Linked DNA regions of Drosophila melanogaster. The protein of the gene in region 1 interacts with the protein of each later gene in a pairwise test. Each region holds a gene or a part of one and is shown in the gene's direction. Other genes may lie near its edges. The genes, in order: CG11248, CG8086, CG8851 and narya.

Region 1 (5,524 bases):
CCTTTGGTTTTGAAGTGTGTATCCGCCAGAACACATAAGCAAACGTAGTTGTCTGGGCCACGCTGCTCCCAACTGAAGCTGGAGAAGCGTCTGCGCGTATGTGCTGGACTGCTGCAGATGTCGCATTGGAGGCGCAGGTTGAAGGGAATGTATTTGACCCGAGGCATTGAGCAGTAGTGTATGGTAGTCGCCGCAAGTCGCCTCAAGCGCCGAGTTTTGTTCTATGGGTAGTGCTGCCGTGTTTTCCGTAATTGTGATCTCCATGGGCGAGCTGACATCTTCACCCAACTGAGAGTGGTTGTTCAGGCCCCAGTGGTAGAGCCTTCCGTCCAGAGTGCGGGCCACCGTGTGCTCTAATCCAGCTGCAATGCTGCACACGCCCATGCTGTCTAGTTTCTGCAAGCGCATCACATTGGCCCTCCGGATATGATCCCCACTGCCCAGGAGACCATTATTGGAGGCTCCGAATGTGAAAAGTTGGGTGTGGAGCAGAGCGTATCCTTGGTGAAGAAGGTGCCTTGTGTTAGCCGCAACGCTGCGCTCCGAGTGGCCACTGCTTATGGATTTTACAGAGGCCCGTTCATCCTCGGGTTCTTCCTTCGCACTGGCCACCGACAGCTGGAGTGCATCGTCGGCCAGGTTGTAGGGAGCTACTAACATCACAAAGTGCTCGTTTCCGGCTGCTAAGTCCAACAGTTCCTTGCCCTCTTCGTAAAGGCGCATGTGCCGAGGCTGTTGTTCTGCCTTGAAGACTTCGCCGCAGCTGCCCATGACATAGGTCTCCCCACTAGCGCCGACGAAGACAACGCCCTGGGCGGAGCAGCAAACCCGTCGGATGCGTACGCCCTCAGCATGCAATTCGAGAGGGTCGAAACCGAGGGTTTGCCACGCATGTGGATGACCCACATCCCGGCCAGATCCCGTGGCTTGGCGCTGCACAGAGCCATTGGTGAGGACTACGAATAGTTCCTGACTGCCGGAGCAGAAGTCCATATCCACAACATCGGTACGCAGGAGTTGAAGATCCATGTGTTCGCGGTTGGCCTGCAGCTTGGCGGAGTAGAGGGCGTGGTCAGTGGTCAGAAGGAGCAGTTCCCCGCCGGCATTGCTGCAAATCCGGGATGCGGGAAACCGCTGCAGGGGCGGCAATCCGCGCCAGTGAAGCTGTAGCTCCCTGCCTTCATGATAGATGGTGAAGGACTCCCGCTCCTCCTGACCCCCAAGTGCCGAGTCATCCGCTGCACTGGCCATGATGTGCAAATTTTTGTTGGGGTTTTGGACAGGGCCAAAGCTTTGTAACACGACGCAATTGCTCGATTTGTCTGCAGGTCGTTCTCACATCGTGCACGTGCTCCGGTCCACGCTAGGCACTACTGGCACCAACGAACATCATATAACTTGATTCGGAATGCAACTCTAGCTGCCACGATAAAATAAATTCTGTTTTCACTTGTTCTTAACTGGCTAATAAGAATTCATGTTTTTGTGATGGTTTTTTGGATTAGTGTGACCAGCGCTATCGAGTCCCAATGAGAATTTATTAAGTAAGGGTGTTCGGGTAAAAGTGACGTTCTAAAATTGGGCTTATCACTATTTATTTGGTCCATGCAAATTGTTGTTTTATAACCAATTTTGAAAACACACATAATACCTTATACGTAAACTCAATATTGTAGTTAGCTAGAACTCTTATATAAATTTAAATAACTCCTTAGTTGCATTCGCCATAATCATGGAACCAGTCAACACAAAAAAGTTATTTTGGTATTTTTTTGCGATACATCAATTTGTTTTAATATGGTCATATTGTTTTTGCCATCAGCTGTTCGACTCAAAAGTTTTTGCATGTTTTGTTTATTTCGCTTAAAATGTAGTTTTATCGTTAATTAGGAAAAGTTACCCACGGTAAAAAAAAACAACCGTCAACAATTGTTCAGAAACATCAACTAGTACGACTCAGTGGACACCTCCGTGTGGTACTGCTGGTTTGCATACGCCCACAAAAGTTGTTTTAAGCCACAAACTCACCCTCCTAAAATAAAATTTTTTCAGCTCGGTTATGGATTTGGACTGCGAGGGCGCTACAGCTTTGGCTGACGACTCAGGGCACTTTAGCTGCACTAGCGATGATGGAGTAGGAGATCCTGCTCAGAAACCGGCGCCGCAGCCTGAACCGGACCAATCGATTTTTCTGGTGCGGCAAGAGCTGCTTCGGACGCGCAGTGAGGTGCAAAGGCTCTTAAAATCGGAGCAGTGGTACAAGCAGGAGCTTAAGTCCCAGAAGCACAGCAGGCTACAGACGCTAGAACGATTGTACGCACAGGAACGGAAGTATTTGATGGAGAACCAGAAGCTGCAGCAAGAATCGATCCGCCTGCACACACAATGCGCCACTCTGGAGAAGCAGCAGGAGCAGGGCTCACCATTTTCCCCTGGCTCATCGCCGTTTAAAGCAGACTCGGAGTCACACGACTCCTCTTTTGAGGCCAAACAGCAGGAGGCGCGCCTACGGGATCAGCGTCAGTTGATCGACGTGCTCCGAAGGCAAAAGAAGATGCTTCTGGACGACATCCAGAGGATCAGTCTGGAACACGATGAAAAACTTTCGCAGTTGCAGCAAACTGTTGTCGGCATGGAGCTGGAGAGCAAGCACGTGACTGGAAAATGCAAGCAACTACTTGACCTTAAAAGTCAAATGGAGCACCAGCTAGAGCTAAGAAGCACTACCCTACGCAGTGTCACCGCGGAGCGTGATCAGCTGCGCCAAGTCATTGCTGAGCTTAACGAGACGCTGCAAACGCAGGAGCATCTGTTAGCGCTAAAGGAACAGGAGTTCCTGGATTTGAAACAGTACTACCAACAAAAGCTGAAACGGGAGAGTAGCATGGAAATTATGCACTCTTATAGCATGAAATTTCACGAAGAGATCAACAGAAAAACGAGTGAAATTGCCAGCCTTAAGAATTCTCTTAACGAGCTTCAGGCCGAGCTGATGCTGATGTCTCACATGAAAGAGCAATGCGAGGAACAGCAGCGTCAGCTTGAGCAACTGGAGTTCGCATTGCAGGCACAACTTTTGGAGGAGACTCAACTTCGGCAAAGCAATGCTCTAAAACTGGAGCAGGTGGAAAATTTAACAATTTCTTTGGCTTCGTTACAACTAGATAAGGAAGGCTTAAAAGAAAATTTAGGTGAGGCGCAAAAGACCTTGAAAAATCTACAGCAGAAGGTGGACATTCTTCAAAAACAGTATGCCGAAATGTGCTCCTTGTGTCAAAAGACTAAACAGCAATTGGAACTGGAGAAAATCGAGATTGCCAAAATGAAGCAAAACGGTTCCTTAAAGGAAAGTGAGCTAATGGAGAAACTCAAAGATTATGCAGCGCAGTGTGATGAGCTGAGAAAAGCGTTGGCCGAAGCAGAGTCCCGTATCGATGTCCAAATCAAAAAGACAGAGGGCTGGCAAGTGCAGTTGAAACACAACCAAGCGACCCAAACGGACCTCGAAGATCCGATTTTAGTTCAACGCATTGAGACTTTGGAACAACAACTAGCGGATGTCAGGAGCCAAAAATTGCACACAGTTTCGCTGCTCCAAATACTGCTTCAACAGCAAGAAGCTAAAATCAAGAGCACTAACGAAATGGAAGCAGACTGGCAACAACTGTTAGATGCTCTGCAAGCTACTCAAAGCTTGGAGCAGGAAATGCGATCAGAACTACAGCATAAGACGGTTGAATTGGAGCACCTGAATGAATTGTTCGCTGGACAAAATGATGAACTGCAAAAGCTCCAGAAATTGAGCCAAGCGCAGGACGAGGAAAATCGACTAGAGTTACAGCTTTTGAAGAAAACATTCCAAGAGAATCTGAAGATAAACTCCGCTGCGTCGATTAACATGCAAAGGCTGCAAGGCCAGGTAAAGTCTTTGCTAGATGAGAAGGAGGAAATTGCGCGAGAAGAACGCAAAGCAGTAGAGTGTTTGCGATCTCTTGGTCACGTTCTTGAGATGGAAACAGGAAGGAGGCTACCACATATAAAAAGCTGGCCTCAGTTGGCCAAAATTCTTCGAAAGGAACTGCGAAATGGGAGGGTTAACAATCGAAAGGCTGAAGAGCTTCCTGGGCTTAAAATGAAGCTGGCGGAGATCAGCGGAAGGCATCAGCAAGCTTTGTCAAAAATTAAGGTATGTTATGTCTTACTCCCTTAAAGTAACTCTTTGTAACACAATTAATTGCTTTTTACAGTGTCTGGAGCACACTTTGGTAATGGAGCGAGCGCGGTTTGAGGCCTCGGACTCGGGCAAATCGACGGCTAGCAACACGCCCCAGGAACCCGCCCATGAAGTGGCTAATCTTATTGATGACTACAAGAAGGTAAGTATGTTCCCCTCCGATTGGCTTCTCTTGACATTTCCTTAATTGATTTACAGCTCGTTCAGCAAACCGCCAATGAAACATGTCGCCCTCGCAACAGCTTCATATTCGATCTGATTGAGCGGAGTCAGCGATGCCAACCGAATTTGTGCCAATTAGGCGAGGGTATTTCCGCCTGCCAGTCTGATATGAAGGAGCTAAGCAGGATTATTATTGCTGGTCGGGAACGGAGGAGAGTGGAGCCCATGCCCTCCCTCATGGATGAACTTCGAGCGGTGGCCGAGCACTCTTAGACGAGCATAATTTAGTTTTCAGTCAAATACTTATAAATTTCCTATTTAGTACCTATTTGTTTAGTCTCAAATTTTGTTTTCCTAAAAGGGGCAATTAGTGAATTGAGTTTTTGTGCCTAGTCTCATAGGCCTAATTTTCAATCAGATCCAACTTAGTTCAATTTATATAAATATTTATTTTGTTGTCTTTTGTGTTCGTTATCTTTATTTATGTGTAACGCATTCTGTTAGTTTCACCAATTCTATATACATACTAATTGCCAAACTATACCAATATTTTTTCTACAAGATATATAAACCATTGTTGGTTGCCACAAAAATGTGTAATTATTTTTATAGTCCATAACATTTAAAGTTAAAAACCTTGTGTAGATAAAACATATTTGTGTGAAGTCGATCAGTGCACATCATTTACTTTCGTGGGCACCTAGGGATTTTAGTACCATCGTTCTCCGAAATAACTTCCTTTTTGTCATATATCGTATTTCCGTTTTCATCCACGTCCAGAACTTCCTGTATTACCCCTTTTCGAGTTCGTGTTATCCCACACATAGGCTTATCGTTTTTATCCATGCACAAAATCAGGAGCTCAGTGTGCTGTAGATCAGAGGGCTTTAGGACCTTTGTTACCTTACAAGATGCCGTAAACTTTATGGGGCACGTCACCCCGGCACATTGCCAACCATCTGGGGGGAAATAATTATTAACATAGATGTTCCAATACTACTCGTATCCATGTAATCCATACACTTAGTCTTCTTTACCGTCGCTCGATTTAAGTCCTCATTTAGGTGCCGATCTCCGTCTGCCTTAAAATAAATGTACGATCCATAATACTCCATATACGGATTTACC
Region 2 (4,975 bases), on another chromosome or scaffold:
TAAGGCATACATGATTTTGTATTTTGAACCCCTTTTTTAATGGTTTATAGAAAAAAGCGTGACAATCAAATGCAATATCTTATGTTTTGAAATTTTCTGTTCTACTATATGCTTCCAAAATCTTGACAGTTATGCTTTTATGTATAAGATGACTATTATTCAATCACAATTTTCTTTCACAATTAAGCTTAATATATTTTTAGATTTTTAATTGATCTCTTTTCGATGCCATATGTGCATATTAAGACAGATTTCCTTCAATGCGAGCAATGTGGGTGGGTGGCCAAGACTCTTTGTCTGACAGATGTCTGAGTTTGTTGGCTCAGCTGCCGGCTCTGATTCATCGTTAGATTTTCAGTTTTCTTCGCTGATCTTGGCCTCGAACAGCAATTGAACAGGCGGTACGGTGTGTGGGCTTTCCAACCTCATGATGGTGATGTAAGAGTCGCCTTATAAGACCGCCTGATGACTGCCTGCCTTGCGAAGAGAACATTGTTTTTTGTACATAAATACATACATATGTATATGTGAATTGCATGCGAGGTCAGGAGTCATATGTAGCAAGTAACAAGTGCGGCTGGCGGGAAAAGTGAAGCCTTTCTTGGCAGCAGAACGACGGCTTTATTGGCCCTGTTAACAGCCAGGCCACGCCCCCTAACATTGTTTGTAATTATTTACACAGGCTGGCGAATTTTCACGGCCAAAAGAAGTGGCACGCTTCGCATTTCTTTTGGGTCCTGGGTTTGTTTTTGTTTTGGTTCATGCAATTGTCGGCCATAAGTCATTAAAAGTAATCGTTTTGTTGGCTTACATGCCCCACAAAATGGGCAGCATTAGCACTTAGCATACTCCCCTTCGTTTCGTTTCGTTTCGCTTCGATTCGGGACACAACCTTGTTGACCAGACCCCAAATCTCGGCGCCCGTCGAATTCGTATCCGTATCCAAATCCAGCCCCATATCGATTACATGCCCAAATGCCTGGTTCCTGGCGCTAAAAAGGTGGAAAGGTGGAAAGTTGGTAAGGTGGAGCGTGGTTGGAACTCCTGATACCAGCTGGTACCGGTCTGTTTTCCGATGTCTGCCCGCCTGTCGATGGGCAACACTTGGTGTCCCGTGTGCTGAGCTGTGAAAAGAAGGTCGTCACCCAGGGCAGCAGCAGGTTTTGGGGAATACGAATGTTGTTGAGGGGGGCCTCTCATTAAAATATTCATTTTGTCTAGCTCCTAACTAGCTGGAAACACTTTTATTGTGCACTTCTTTTGTTACGACTTAGTGGTAATCATATGTATAATAAAATTGTCTACCGTGGTAACTGCATTAAAATTCATTTGGTTTTCTCTTCGTATTTTATTGTTCCCTTTTTATAGGGAAATTCAATTTAAAGGGTGAAGCTCAATATATGCTAGATATATTTAGGCACCTTTACAAACTTCGATTACATATATAAATTATTGCTCTCTATTCAAAATCAAATACAACTGAAAGGCAAAGACATAATAAGACTGTAATTTAAGTTTCTTAACTTTATTTTGGTTGCACTGCAAACCCCTGCAACTTTTGTGCCTGCCACTGACGCCCAAGAATTACGAGCCTACCGCAAAGTTATTGCCATTGTTTGTATTTCGTGCGGCGCAACAAATTCGCGGCTCGAACAGAAGGAACCTGCAACAAATGCCGAGCAACAGCCACTGCAGAAGAAGGAGAAGAAAAAGAGTGACAGCCGCCACACGACACGCCCCCATCCACTGAATCCATTCGCCCATGGATGGTATGAATATGTGGAGCTACACGCCTGGTTATTAGCCGCCCCATCGGAATTGGCCCAGAAAGTTCGAAACAAATGCCAGACGATTGATTTTTGTGTCATCGACTTGGCTGTTGGAGTAGGACGAAATTTGGATTATTAGGTTACCCAAGTTTGGGGGTCGAAGTATAGATTTCAGTAGTCAGCCTATCACCCACTCACACGTGTAAATGTCAGCGAAGGGAGTTCAGTAAATTTGGTCTTTAACTTTTTTTTTTTACATTGGGGCACAATTTTCAGACTTCGATACTACTAAGCCTAAAAACAGCAAGATGAACAAGGTGGTTTCTTGAAGATCTAAATAACTAATGGATTTCTTAATATTGTTGTTTGTTTTCCCCTTTTTAGGTCGAGTTCAAAAACAAGAACAAGGATCAGGGACCCTGCGCCCGCGTGCGTAAGATTCGTCCAATTAACATGGGCGGCAACGTGGAGCAGCGTCCTTGGACTCCAACTGTTAGGATCGGCAAGATCGCCGCCGAGACCACCAATCCGGGTCCAGCCACTGTCCAACTTCCAACCTTGATAGGTAAGCTTAAGATTGGTTTAATGTTCCTGCAAATATAACTTATTGAAAATCCCACATTTAGGCAGCAAAGTTCCCGACTCCAAGAAGAAGGCCGCACCCTCGTACTCCTTTGGCCACAAGTTGGGCGGAAAGTATGACACCTCCGGACCGGGTCCGGCGCAGTACAATGTTACGGGTATGCGAGCCAAGGGTCGGGATTATCCTCGAGCAGCCACTCTGCAGAGCAGACCCAAGGAACTAACACGCTTCTCGAATCCCGGACCTGGGGAATACGATGTGGTGCCGGCGGCCAAGGCGGTGATCGATGCCACGCCCAAATACACTTTTGGCCAACGGCCGGTCGCGTTGAAAACCTTCCAGATACCAGGTGAGTCTCGGTCTTCTTCCACTGGTGTTTGAATGGTGTTTTTGGACCTGATGTTGGATTTTGGAGTTGGATCTGAAAATTGACTTTGAATTTGGCGTTGAATTCGGTGTTTGTTGCGGGCTGGTGCTGTTTTTTTTTTTTTTTTTGGTTGCATGCGCGGACTGAGGAGATCATCAATCAATTTCAATCATGGATCATCATTGTACATAGAAGCGTACTCATTAACTAATCCGAATCCATGCCAGTTGCATCCTTACTGCAAGCAGCGCGTAAGTTGCTACCGCCCCTTTCTTCCACTTTCTCCCACTTTCTATCTCTATCTCAGTAGCTAGTGTAGTCGTAGCCACATTTCGTAGATTATTCTGCTGTATCTTTGGGTATCCTTGAGATTGAATCGTAGTTATGTCACCTCGTAATGTGCGTGAATGATTTGGCTTATTCTATTCTATTATTTTTGGTACATTAATTAAAAAGTATTTAATTATAATGTTGGGCATTATTATTATTTATTCGATTTGTTCATATCTCGTTCTCTAAACTTTCTTTGTTTCCCTAAAAAAAAGCTACAAATTTACGTAGGAGGAATTGGCAATGTCTTTATACGGTCATCTATTTTGTGAAAGATTGTCTACAACTTGGCTCAGTTATTTTTATTTATGAGTCAAACGGAAACGGAGATCAGATGTCTTAATTTCTCATAAATATTTCTATTTAAGATTATACATATTCTCTAATTCTCATTTATTATTTCCTAGCTACACAGTGTTCTTTGTATATGTGTTACTTTAGTGGTTCAGTAATTTGTGTGACCTCTTTTTTTTTGTTATGTTGCCTGATTTGATTTTAATTTGAAACGTTTTTCTCTTTCAATGAATGATTGCCGTGGCAAAATCGAGACTCAGGTCCCAACTATTATCAAGTGGTGCCACTTGATGTCGTCAAGCGGCGAGCCCCACGCTACTCCTTTCGCATTAAGGTTAACGTGTATTTGGTTAACAATCCAGGTAACCCAACTAACTGTCCAAACTTCGTCCACGTTGCGTTTTAGTGTTGGTGTTGGTCTAGCTCCGCTCTCTAACTTCTAACCCGATCAATTAATCCCCAACTCATCACTAATTCCCGAAATAATGTATCTTTCTATCCGTATATACATATCTATCTATTTGTAATTCACCCACACTTAGTCGTAGCTCACCTAGTGTAGACCTTTAGTTTTGATTCGAGTAGACTAAAAATCGAATGTTTTATTAACACTAACAGCTCCGAATAGCTATTGCCCTGAAAAGGTCACGCAATCAAAAAAGAATGCGCCACGCTACACTTTCGGTAGACGAACTAAAATCGAACACGATCAGGGCACACCAGGTAATAAATCCCAGCCTCCCCCCCAAGTAACTGTATCTGCATCTGTAATTGTATCCGTATCTACCCCAATCGAGGCACCACTTGCTCAAGCGTACCCAATTGGACAGTATCTATAGCGCTTTCCTTTTCTATTCCCGTGACTTTTGGCCAACTTAATACTGATATCCCATCCCATCCGCAGCTCCTGGCGCATATTGTCCAGAGAAGGTGAAGCTCAACAAGACGCCAGAGTTCAGTTTCGGCATCAAGCACCATGAACAGCGACCAGATTACACTCCAGGTTTGTAAACAGTATGCCTTGTAGGTTTGAGCCACGTTAATATAGCTGCTTGATGCTTTCACCACGACGACACTTTCATTAGCGCCAGGCACCTACAAGCCCGAGCAGGTTGTCCTCGAACACATTCCCGCCTACAGCTTTGGCTTGAAGACCAAACACATCCAGGTCAGCGATACTCCAGGTAAGGCTTCCCGCTCAGCTGGGCTGTAGTAACTTGGCTTATAGCGCACACTTTTATGTCCTTATGACCAGCACCCGGTGCCTACAGCCCCGAAAAGTCAAGGTTGCACTCCGCACCCGCTTACTCAATCGCCGGAAAGGCTTCGCAGGACGTGGTCGATTGCACACCTGGTGAGTTCTAGAATCGCATTTCAATGGATCTTAGTCTTAGCGTGCGACCCGCACACCAAAACCCAACTCTTTTTACACCTTATCTTCACCCAATCTCTTGCAGCACCCGGAGCATACGAACCCGAGAAGTGCGTCCTGAGCAGGACGCCTGCCTTCAGCTTTGGCCACCGTGCCGAGCTGGCCAAGTCGAGTGACACGCCAGCGCCGGGCACCTACAATCCGGAGAAGGTGCGGCTGGACCACACGCCCGCATTCACCCTGTCCGGACGCCCAGAGAC
Region 3 (5,350 bases), on another chromosome or scaffold:
GCAGAGTGTCCAGATCGTCTTGGGTGGACTTGAGCTGTTCGCAGAAGAGATCCCTCTGTCGGAGAAGCTCCTCCAGTTCATTCCTGGCCTGAGTCAGTTCCATTTGGCACTGGGCCAGCTGAGGTCGCACATCGACGTTGGGTTGCTGCTCCATCTGCGTCTTGCAGGCCTTGAGCTCCTTGCAGACCACCACCAGTTTCGTCTGCATCTCATCCTTCTCCTTGCAAACCTGGGCCAGCTTCAGCTGCTCGTTCTCTAAGAGCTTGGGGAAGTGCAGTAACTCGTTCAGTTTCTCTTGGAACTTAGCTCGAATCTCTTTGACCTCCGTGTTGATCTGCTGTTCGATTCGTTTGTTGTTCATGTTCAGCTTCTCTAGGGAGACGCACTGTTCCTCGACCTTCTGCTGGGCCAGCAGGTACTTGTTGCGGTAGTCCTCTAACTGCTGCGACTGCTCCTTCATGATGCACTTGAACTCCAGCTGCTCCTCCTTGAGCTCGTTGACCCGCGCTCGAAGTAGATTCAGCTCGGCGGCATCGGCATCCCCGTCGCCCCCTTTCGATGGACAGGGACCACAGATACCCTTCATTCGCTTCTGCATCTCCTTCATCTGGCAGTCCTTGCGCTGAAACTCGGTTAGCAGCCTGGTGTAGTTCTCCTTCATCTTCTCGTACTTGTCGGCCTTGGTGTTCCGCTTTCCGCCGCAGATGACCAGTGGGTCTGGATCCTCGGGACACGGCGGCCTGGGAGGACACGGCCTGGAGCAGGGGTCCTCCTCTCCTTCATCGTCATCGTCGTCGACGTCACAGGGTTCGGACGCATCCCGATTGCTCACCTCCTGGAGCAACTTCTTCACCGAGGTCTGCATGCATTGGATGCGCCGCTTCAGTTTCTCCAAGGACTCGCACTTGCCCGGTGGCTGGGGCTGGGGCTGGGGGCAGGGAGCCTTCTGAGCCTTCCGTTTGGCTGGACAGGGAGGAGGACATGGGGCAATGCTGCTGCTGCTGCTCTCCGGGCAAGGACCTTGGCAAGGACCCGGACAGGGTGGTGGCGGACAGGGACCCGGAACGCATACCGGCTGCTTCTTGCAGCTCATTATAGCGCAGGCGATCTCTTCGATCATCTTCTTGTCCTCAGGACAAGCGCCCTTCATCTTCTGCATGGCCTTTTGCAGAGCGCAGATCAACTTGTCGTCCTGACCAGCCATGTCCCGTTGACCTCCACCGCCTCCGCCGCCACCACAAACACTGGCACACGAGCTAGGCTCTTCGCTACAGGGATCCGTGGCGCTGCCAGCTGGAGCACAAGGACCGATGCCACACATATACGGTGACAGGTTGTCCTCGTCGACGGTGGTGGTCATGGCCAGCTCCTTGTAGTGCCGATGGGAGCCGAAGTTTTGCAGCTGCACCGCTCTGTTCATCATGGTGTGCAGCTTAATGTTCTCCTGCTCCATGCAAATCCTCAACCGCTTGATCTCGCGCAGTTCGTTGCGGGTCTTGCAGGGCTTGGCGCACATGTCCATGATGTTGCTCTTGATGTCCTGGATGATCTTGTTCTGGCAATCGATCTCCTTGATCAGCGCCAGGTACTCCATGTACATGCGCTTCTGCTCGGGATCGTCGGAGGACTCGCCCAGCTTGGAGAAGAGGTCCTCGTCGGGCCCCTCCTCCATCATGTGCTGTTCGCCAAGGTACTGGTTCTCATCGTCCTCGTACTCGCCGCCCTCATCGGTGTACTCTGTGTTCTCTGCCATCGCGATTTAGATTCACTTATCGATGCGGCCAAAAATTGTATGGTTAAAATTTTTTTTTTTTTTTTTTTATATTTGGCTAGATTTACTAACGATTTTAAGGTACGTATATTCTGCGAAAATTTTAACACATACTCTGAAAAAATTTCGAAACAAGTTTTGGGAAGAATAAGTTGTTTTCTTCGTGATCGAATAAAATGAACTGAAAAATCCACGGACATTCGCCCTGGGCAGTTGGCAACAGATTTGGAATGGCCTGCTTCGACTTGGGAGAATCGAACGAAAGATCCCGGAGAACTGGATTGGGATCGAGGACTTGCTTTGTCGAGGTGGATTACCGGAGTCCTCCCTCCCAGGATGGTCAGGAATGTGTCCTTCGGGAGGAGTGTGTATCGAGGCATCTATTCGGCGAAACAAACAACTATATTTACTACTGCCGCTACTTGAATTGGTTCAAAATCAAAACACAGTGCGACTTGAAGGAAATGGTATATCTTAATAAATAATTTTAAATCTATTCGAAAATATGTTATGAGAATCTACCTGTATCCTTTACTAACATAAAAGTATGAAAATGTTTTACGGTGAAATGGGAAATTTAAAGGGCAATCAGTAGGAATATACATATATAAATTATCACTCTACTGGGAGATGTGGTTTATTATCTAAAACTATTATATAAACCTTAAGGATATAATCAATCCTCGAACAGCGATATTTTCCAGAAGGCAAATGCCATTCGAGTAGGCGTAACGCCCAATTTTCTATCAAATAATTTTCGTCACGTCCTACGTAAAATTAATATTTTTGGGAATTGAATGTGTCACATAAGGTTTTTAAAAAAATTCTCTGTTCGCCAAAAACAGTGCAAAAAATTACACAAGTGCAACATTAACCAAATAGGCTAAATTTTCGTAGATGTTAAAGCCATCCAGGCGACCATTAGCCAACAGACAACGATCACTTCGATTCCGTCCACAGAATCGCAAAGGAACATCATCTAGTAACACCTCAATGGGACTGGACTTCGAGCTGGATGAGAAGAACGAAGATCAGGCAGATGAAAATGAAAAGAGTAGCTATGTCAGCCTCTCCAGGCCGAGCTCCAAAGTACTAGATACGAGAAGTGCCAGTAGCTTGGACTTCGGGGACCACTGTAGTCCCAGTATAACAAAATTACCCAAGAACAGCAGGGAAGGTAAGGAGGTCAGCCTAATCATGAGTGATGAAGAGCCGGAAGATTACAGAAAGGGTTTGGGCTCGAAGAGGAGGTTGCCAGACTCGGAAGCCCTTGGCAGCAAGCTAAAGGAGGAACTCTGCAAGTACAAGCAGGAGCTCAAGGACTACAACGAAAGCACCAAGGATCTGGAGGAGAAGTACATGAAAATTAACTACGAGCTGTGCGAAATGCAGCAGAAGCACGATCAGTTCGTGTCCAGCAGGAAGCAGGCCCAGCAAATGGATCTGGGAAGTGAGCCCGATCCGGATGGATTTTATAGCTCTGCCAGCAGTGTCACCTCGCAGACGACCATCAGACGAAAGAGCCCCCAAATCCTGCGCAGCAATACCAGTTTCATGACCGTTCTATCGGGCCAGAGTTCCTGCGACGAAATCGATAGAAAGAAATACGCGTCCGAAAGGAGTACTCATCAGCAGAATCACCATCGGCACAAGGACGATCTGCCATCACAGGTGAACAGCGTTTTTGACAGCCGTATTGTGGAAACACTGGCGAACCGTCACGTGAAGCGCAGGAAGAGATCCTTGGAGCAGGACGATCGGGAAAGGGAGCCAGCATCCTTCAAGGATGTGTACAATGTGCTGAAGGATGTGATCAACACCTCACAGGTATGAATTAGCTGTTAGCTAAATGGAATATAAAAACTTAAACCTTCTTCCTTAATCAGGATCAGAAGTACAAGCATGAACGGGATCGAGGTAGGGACAGAGACAGGGACAGGGACTCTGGAGATATAAGCCAGCTCCTTACCACCATTAAGGGACTGAAGAGCGAGCAGGTCCAGTTTCGAACTCTCATTCGGCAGCAGCAGGAGAGAATATCGGACTACCACACGCGGTGTGTGAAAGCCCAGGACATCATGAGCACCCAGAAGCAGGAGATCGAGAAGCTGCACGTGAATAACAAGCAGTTGGAGTCGAGCATCTACCATGACATAGACAGTCTGCGATCCAAGATAGACAACAAACTGAAAAGTGTCTCCCATTTGCCGAAGATGATGCGAGACGAGCACTCCAAGTACGAGACGGTAATGCGGGAAAATTGTCTGCTGGCGGATAAACTTCATGCCCTCCAACAGGAAGCCATGCAGCTGAAGGTCAAAATAGATGAACTGGGCCGCCGAAAGTTGGTCACCATCAACCGGCTGAAGGCCGCCGAAAGGGATCTGAAGATCTTTAAGAACTACAACTCGGCCTTGAAGACGGAGAAGCGGAAACTGACCCAGGAGCTGTCCACCATGAAGGATCAGCTGGAGCAGCTCCAGGCGAGCAGCAAAAGGCAACTTTCCCGCCATCGCGAGCAGAGCGAAAAGCAGCGCAGGGATCTGCAGAAGAAGATCTACGACCTCGAACTGAAGCTGAGTAGGAGCCAAAACTCGACGTCCAGTTTGATCCAGGAACGGGATAGTCTGATAGCTGAGCTCCAGACGCAACTCCACACCCTGGTCCACAACTTCGAGGTCTCGCAGAAACACATAAGGGTTCTCCGGCGGCACATCTACTCCATGACGAATCAGGGTGGCACGGGCATCGTTGGCAGTGGGTCGGCTGGCATTGCCCACTTGACATCAGGTGGTTCCCATCGACCCAGTCTGATCAGGATCAATCAGCTGCCCCAGGGAACCAGCAACGGTCGATTTGCAGCCCCCCGAACTCTGAAGGCGACGATCTAAACGGGGATCTGGACTGGACTGCCTAGACCTAGGCACTAGATTGGGCTCATCAGCTGTCCAGGCAACTTGAAGGTACTGCTCCCAGCACTTGGACTATGCCATCAAGTTGCCTGGACATTATCAGCCCTTATTAAGCCACCAATTATTTCACTCTAATGATTATGTAAACTCATTTTTAAAAGTACTTTTAATGATTCGGTTAAATGTATTGGGATAGGAACTTATTTAGGTACGACAGTCACATTACTATCACCGCTCCAAAGATTCCAAAGCCTCCAGAATTTGAGTTCATTATACGGAGCTATGACCAGATCTTTATGGCACTCCTTGACATAATTTAGGCAACAATTGCCGTTCACCAGACATGATTCTTGGCATCGACACCCTTCATTGATGTACCTTCCCCGAACAAAGTCCTGACCACAACGACCAGAGCAGTCGGTCATTTGGTAGCCCAGTGAATCCGTGATATCCGATTCTTCTATTGGTTTTTTTGGTTCCTCGATGAAGGTAGACCTCCTGGCACATTCCTTAGCTGCCATCAGCTTCACGTCGTCGATGGCAATATCTCCGTATTGGGACCTCGCATCCGTGGCGGTAAAGATCACTTGGAAGTCCTCATCCATCTTATTGATATCGATCGTGTGCTCCAGCCACCTGGCACCTTGTGATCCAGTCATCACGAATT
Region 4 (3,276 bases), on another chromosome or scaffold:
AGCAAGCTGAGCACAAAACTCGACAGTAGCAACAATGTAGTTGCAAAGAAGTAGACAGTCGGGCGAGGCAGAAGGAGCTGCTGCCCTGCCGAGGAAGCGCACAACTATATCTGAAAATTGGACAGCTTGACAGGCAAAGACCTTTTCATAAACAAGCGTAGCTTCTGTGTCCCGAGATTAGGACAACACAGCACGGTCGAAAGGAGCGCCGCATTAAGGTGCAGATCCAATACAAATCTCTAAATCCCTTTTTGTCATCATCCTAAGCTAAAAACTATTTTGTAAGCTACAAAATTGTGCGAGATAAAAACTAAATCCTTGTGAGGAATTCACCCAGCTCTGTTGTCAGTGGCAAATTGAAAGCTGGACACTTGACAATTTTACATATTGCAATATTCAGTTAAAATAAGCAGCGCAGCTTGAGCAACGACGACCTATTGTGTAGCTGGCTAACTAACAGGCATACGTAGTTATCAAATCCCATATTTCGTATCCGATAATTTATTCTATAAATTCATTCTTTCAACAATTTGATTAAAATGGAAATTTCCCGGCGGCTTCAATGCCAATTGAACGGGGCATAATTGATTTTAATTAAAAATTCCATTGTTTTGGCCCAAAAACGAAATATTTTTGGTGGGAAATCCGAATACAGATTTCCGCCCAACATTTTTCAGTGCGTTTTTTTTTTTTCATTGTAACATGGCTGAAGGGTCCCTCAATTAAAGAAAGCAAATGTTTTTCATAACATTTTTGTTGATTTCCAAAGGGGACAGGCCAAAAGTTAATTTGTTTAGCAATTTTTCAATATGTTAAATTAAATATGTTTTTTTTTTTATAATTAAATACGTTTATTCAGACGATTACTTGTTATTTCGACACTGCTTTTTGTGGCGCAGAATGTCGATCGTTGTCAGTCGCAACTCCCTCTTGCAGGAGTTGCAGTAATAGCCGCCGGAGGAGTGCGAACTGGAGCTACTGGCTACCTCCGTTGAGGACTCTGTGCTCGTTGTTTTCGCCGTGCGGCTTTCCTGCGCCTTGCGACGCTTGCATTTGGATCGGTGCACCAGCTGCTCCAGCACATCGAACTCCTCCAGCTCGAAATCGCAGCGCGTACACTGCCATGGCTCTGCCCGTAGAGTCGCATCCATGGCCGTCGTCCACTGCTGTTCGGCCAAGCAGCTGTACACCACGTGCTCCGATACGTTGAGGCCGCCCTTTTCCTCGTTCGGTGTCATGGGAAAGTCGACGGCAAAGGGGTTCTCCTTGAGCTCCGCGAGTCGCGCGGAAGGTGCCTGATGAGTGTAGAGCCTCTTGATGTCGGCGGGAAGCAGTCGGCGTATCGCATACGCCACATCCAGCGCCATATAGTCCACAAGATCTTGCCACAGCGCGCTGCTCCTATCGTCACTTGAATGGGAAGGTGATTCCTGTTTGCTTTTGAGGTCTGCAAATTGGACAGCATTAAGTACATACGTATTAGATAACTAAGCTCCATTTACTAAGAATGCCAAGAACAACAAGCATTTTCTATAACTGAACAGTTCAAATATCGACAATTGTATATGTAAATACCTAAAAAAAAAAACGTTTTTAAGCATATGTCGTTCCCATCATTTGATTGTTACAATAATAACTGCTTTAAAATATTATGGTGAAAAATCTTTGAACCTGAATACACCACTTGCAGGAAAGGTGTGGTGAACAGATTGCAAGGCGAGAGTGTTCTCACCCGGCAGAGTGGCCAGACCGCTGAGGTAAGATCCGTTAGCCCCATTCGGATATCTAAATCACAATTGTTTAAGAAGAAAACTTGCAAGGCGAGGAAAAAAACATATATTGGTCACTATGTTTCGAGTGCATTGCAACAAGTGTTTCCGTCATCGCAAAACTGATCCAGCCGTGCCCTTCCACTTGACCCAGTGCCGGCACGTGATCTGCGGCCCCTGTTTGGGCCAATCCTCGCTAGAAAAGAACTGCCCGCTATGCGGCCAGGTGCTCAAAGCGATCCAGATCAACCGGGATATGCCAACTAGCGTGGCCAACTACTTCGCGGATCCCCTGCGATTCCAGCAGATCTACCGCAAGATCTCCAAGTTCCAAGCGGACCAGCGAGCATCGGACAACCTGGGTTTCTACCGTCAGTTGCAGCAGCTGGAGCAAAACAAGCGCCAGCTGGAGGGCTTTTGCAAGATGGAGGCGCAGCTGAACCAGAAGGTCGTGGAGGAAAAGAAGCGAATCGCTGAATTGCGCACCTACATCGCTTACCACGAGAATGCGCAGAGGATGACGAGGCGCCGGCACAGTGCAGGTGAGAGATTCCATACGCCGGAGTTCAAGGAGGCCTGGAACACCTCTATCAGCACTTCGGACAAATCGCCGTCGGATATGCCTTCTGATAGCTCCCGCCGGTCCGCGGACTTGGATACCCAGTCAACGCGGAGAAGATCTTTTGGCAGCGACACTAAAGGCTTTCGTCTTTAGTCACTCCAATTACTTGTATAATTTTTTATAGGAATTCTAAGACTATAACCACTTCTAACGATTCAATTAGGTTTTGACCTTCCAGAAGATTCCCAATATAAAGAACCAGATAGATTATTAAGTTGCGCTTAAGGTACTAATTATCATCCGTATTCTATTACTATTACTATTCAAATCGAGACGTTCCACTACTCATGTGCGGGATATGATAACCATAAACGGAAATATAACAATCTACTTTAGCTTACAAAACTCAAAAATCCCCCTAGTAGTTTTAATAATTCCAACCAATCTGGGGAGCACTCACCATCCAGCTTGTCGTAAAGCAGTCTGCTCCAACGTCGGCGCAACTCGATGGCCCGTCTTAAAAGCTCCATACCGCTGCCGGGCATGGGCAGATCCAGTCCCAGCCAGCCGTCGCAGGCGATCTGTGTGATGCCCGCGTTCGTGTCAATGGCGAAGCTGAAGAGCAATAGCGTCTGGGCAGCCGGCAGGCGGATGCAGTTAATCAGATAGGGCTTGGCGGTCTCCAGCAGCGACCTGTTGTAGTACGTAGTTTTTTGGGGATTAGTATGGCGCTGCAATTTCGTACAGACGCACGCACTCACTGGTAACAGAGCAACTGGTGGCGCTTGCTGAGCGGAAGCTTGGGCGTGTAGAAGTCTGGCTTGGGCAGCAGATCGCTTTCGGTCAGCTTAAGCAGCTCGAAGTGCTTGGCGAATTGCGAGTTTGGGTGCTGCAGCACGAAGGGCTTGAGCCGCGTGTGGAAGAACTGCTGACCACCACCCTTGC

The links.
Region 2: the proteins of CG11248 (region 1) and CG8086 interact in a two-hybrid assay, tested with the Drosophila melanogaster proteins (one large-scale study listed by BioGRID).
Region 3: the proteins of CG11248 (region 1) and CG8851 interact in a two-hybrid assay, tested with the Drosophila melanogaster proteins (one large-scale study listed by BioGRID).
Region 4: the proteins of CG11248 (region 1) and narya interact in a two-hybrid assay, tested with the Drosophila melanogaster proteins (one large-scale study listed by BioGRID).

The regions. Positions count from the first base shown.
Region 1 is NT_037436.4:21,678,248-21,683,771, forward strand, and holds CG11248 (uncharacterized protein), read left to right. Parts: upstream 1-1,802; 5' UTR 1,803-1,905; exon of another isoform or gene 1,906-1,985; intron 1,986-2,052; 5' UTR 2,053-2,059; coding exon 2,060-4,186; intron 4,187-4,247; coding exon 4,248-4,376; intron 4,377-4,432; coding exon 4,433-4,669; 3' UTR 4,670-4,984; downstream 4,985-5,524. Other genes in the region: Als2 (amyotrophic lateral sclerosis 2), read right to left, coding at 1-1,251; Sfp78E (seminal fluid protein 78E), read right to left, coding at 5,081-5,355, 5,418-5,524.
Region 2 is NT_033779.5:8,249,954-8,254,928, reverse strand, and holds the start of CG8086 (uncharacterized protein), read left to right. Parts: upstream 1-1,962; 5' UTR 1,963-2,077; coding exon 2,078-2,086; intron 2,087-2,153; coding exon 2,154-2,334; intron 2,335-2,395; coding exon 2,396-2,701; intron 2,702-3,603; coding exon 3,604-3,705; intron 3,706-3,961; coding exon 3,962-4,066; intron 4,067-4,247; coding exon 4,248-4,346; intron 4,347-4,428; coding exon 4,429-4,527; intron 4,528-4,598; coding exon 4,599-4,697; intron 4,698-4,800; coding exon 4,801-4,975.
Region 3 is NT_033779.5:3,517,711-3,523,060, forward strand, and holds CG8851 (uncharacterized protein), read left to right. Parts: upstream 1-1,966; 5' UTR 1,967-2,001; coding exon 2,002-2,238; intron 2,239-2,511; exon of another isoform or gene 2,512-2,668; coding exon 2,669-3,598; intron 3,599-3,657; coding exon 3,658-4,662; 3' UTR 4,663-4,845; downstream 4,846-5,350. Other genes in the region: CG3213 (uncharacterized protein), read right to left, coding at 1-1,753; Sr-CIV (scavenger receptor class C, type IV), read right to left, coding at 4,884-5,350.
Region 4 is NC_004354.4:19,473,319-19,476,594, forward strand, and holds narya (narya), read left to right. Parts: upstream 1-1,744; 5' UTR 1,745-1,848; coding exon 1,849-2,484; 3' UTR 2,485-2,737; downstream 2,738-3,276. Other genes in the region: CG32533 (uncharacterized protein), read right to left, coding at 864-1,447, 2,792-3,024, 3,093-3,276. UniProt on the Drosophila melanogaster protein: Required for the formation of DNA double-strand breaks (DSBs) together with nenya and vilya during the meiotic recombination process. Plays a role in DSBs processing into crossovers.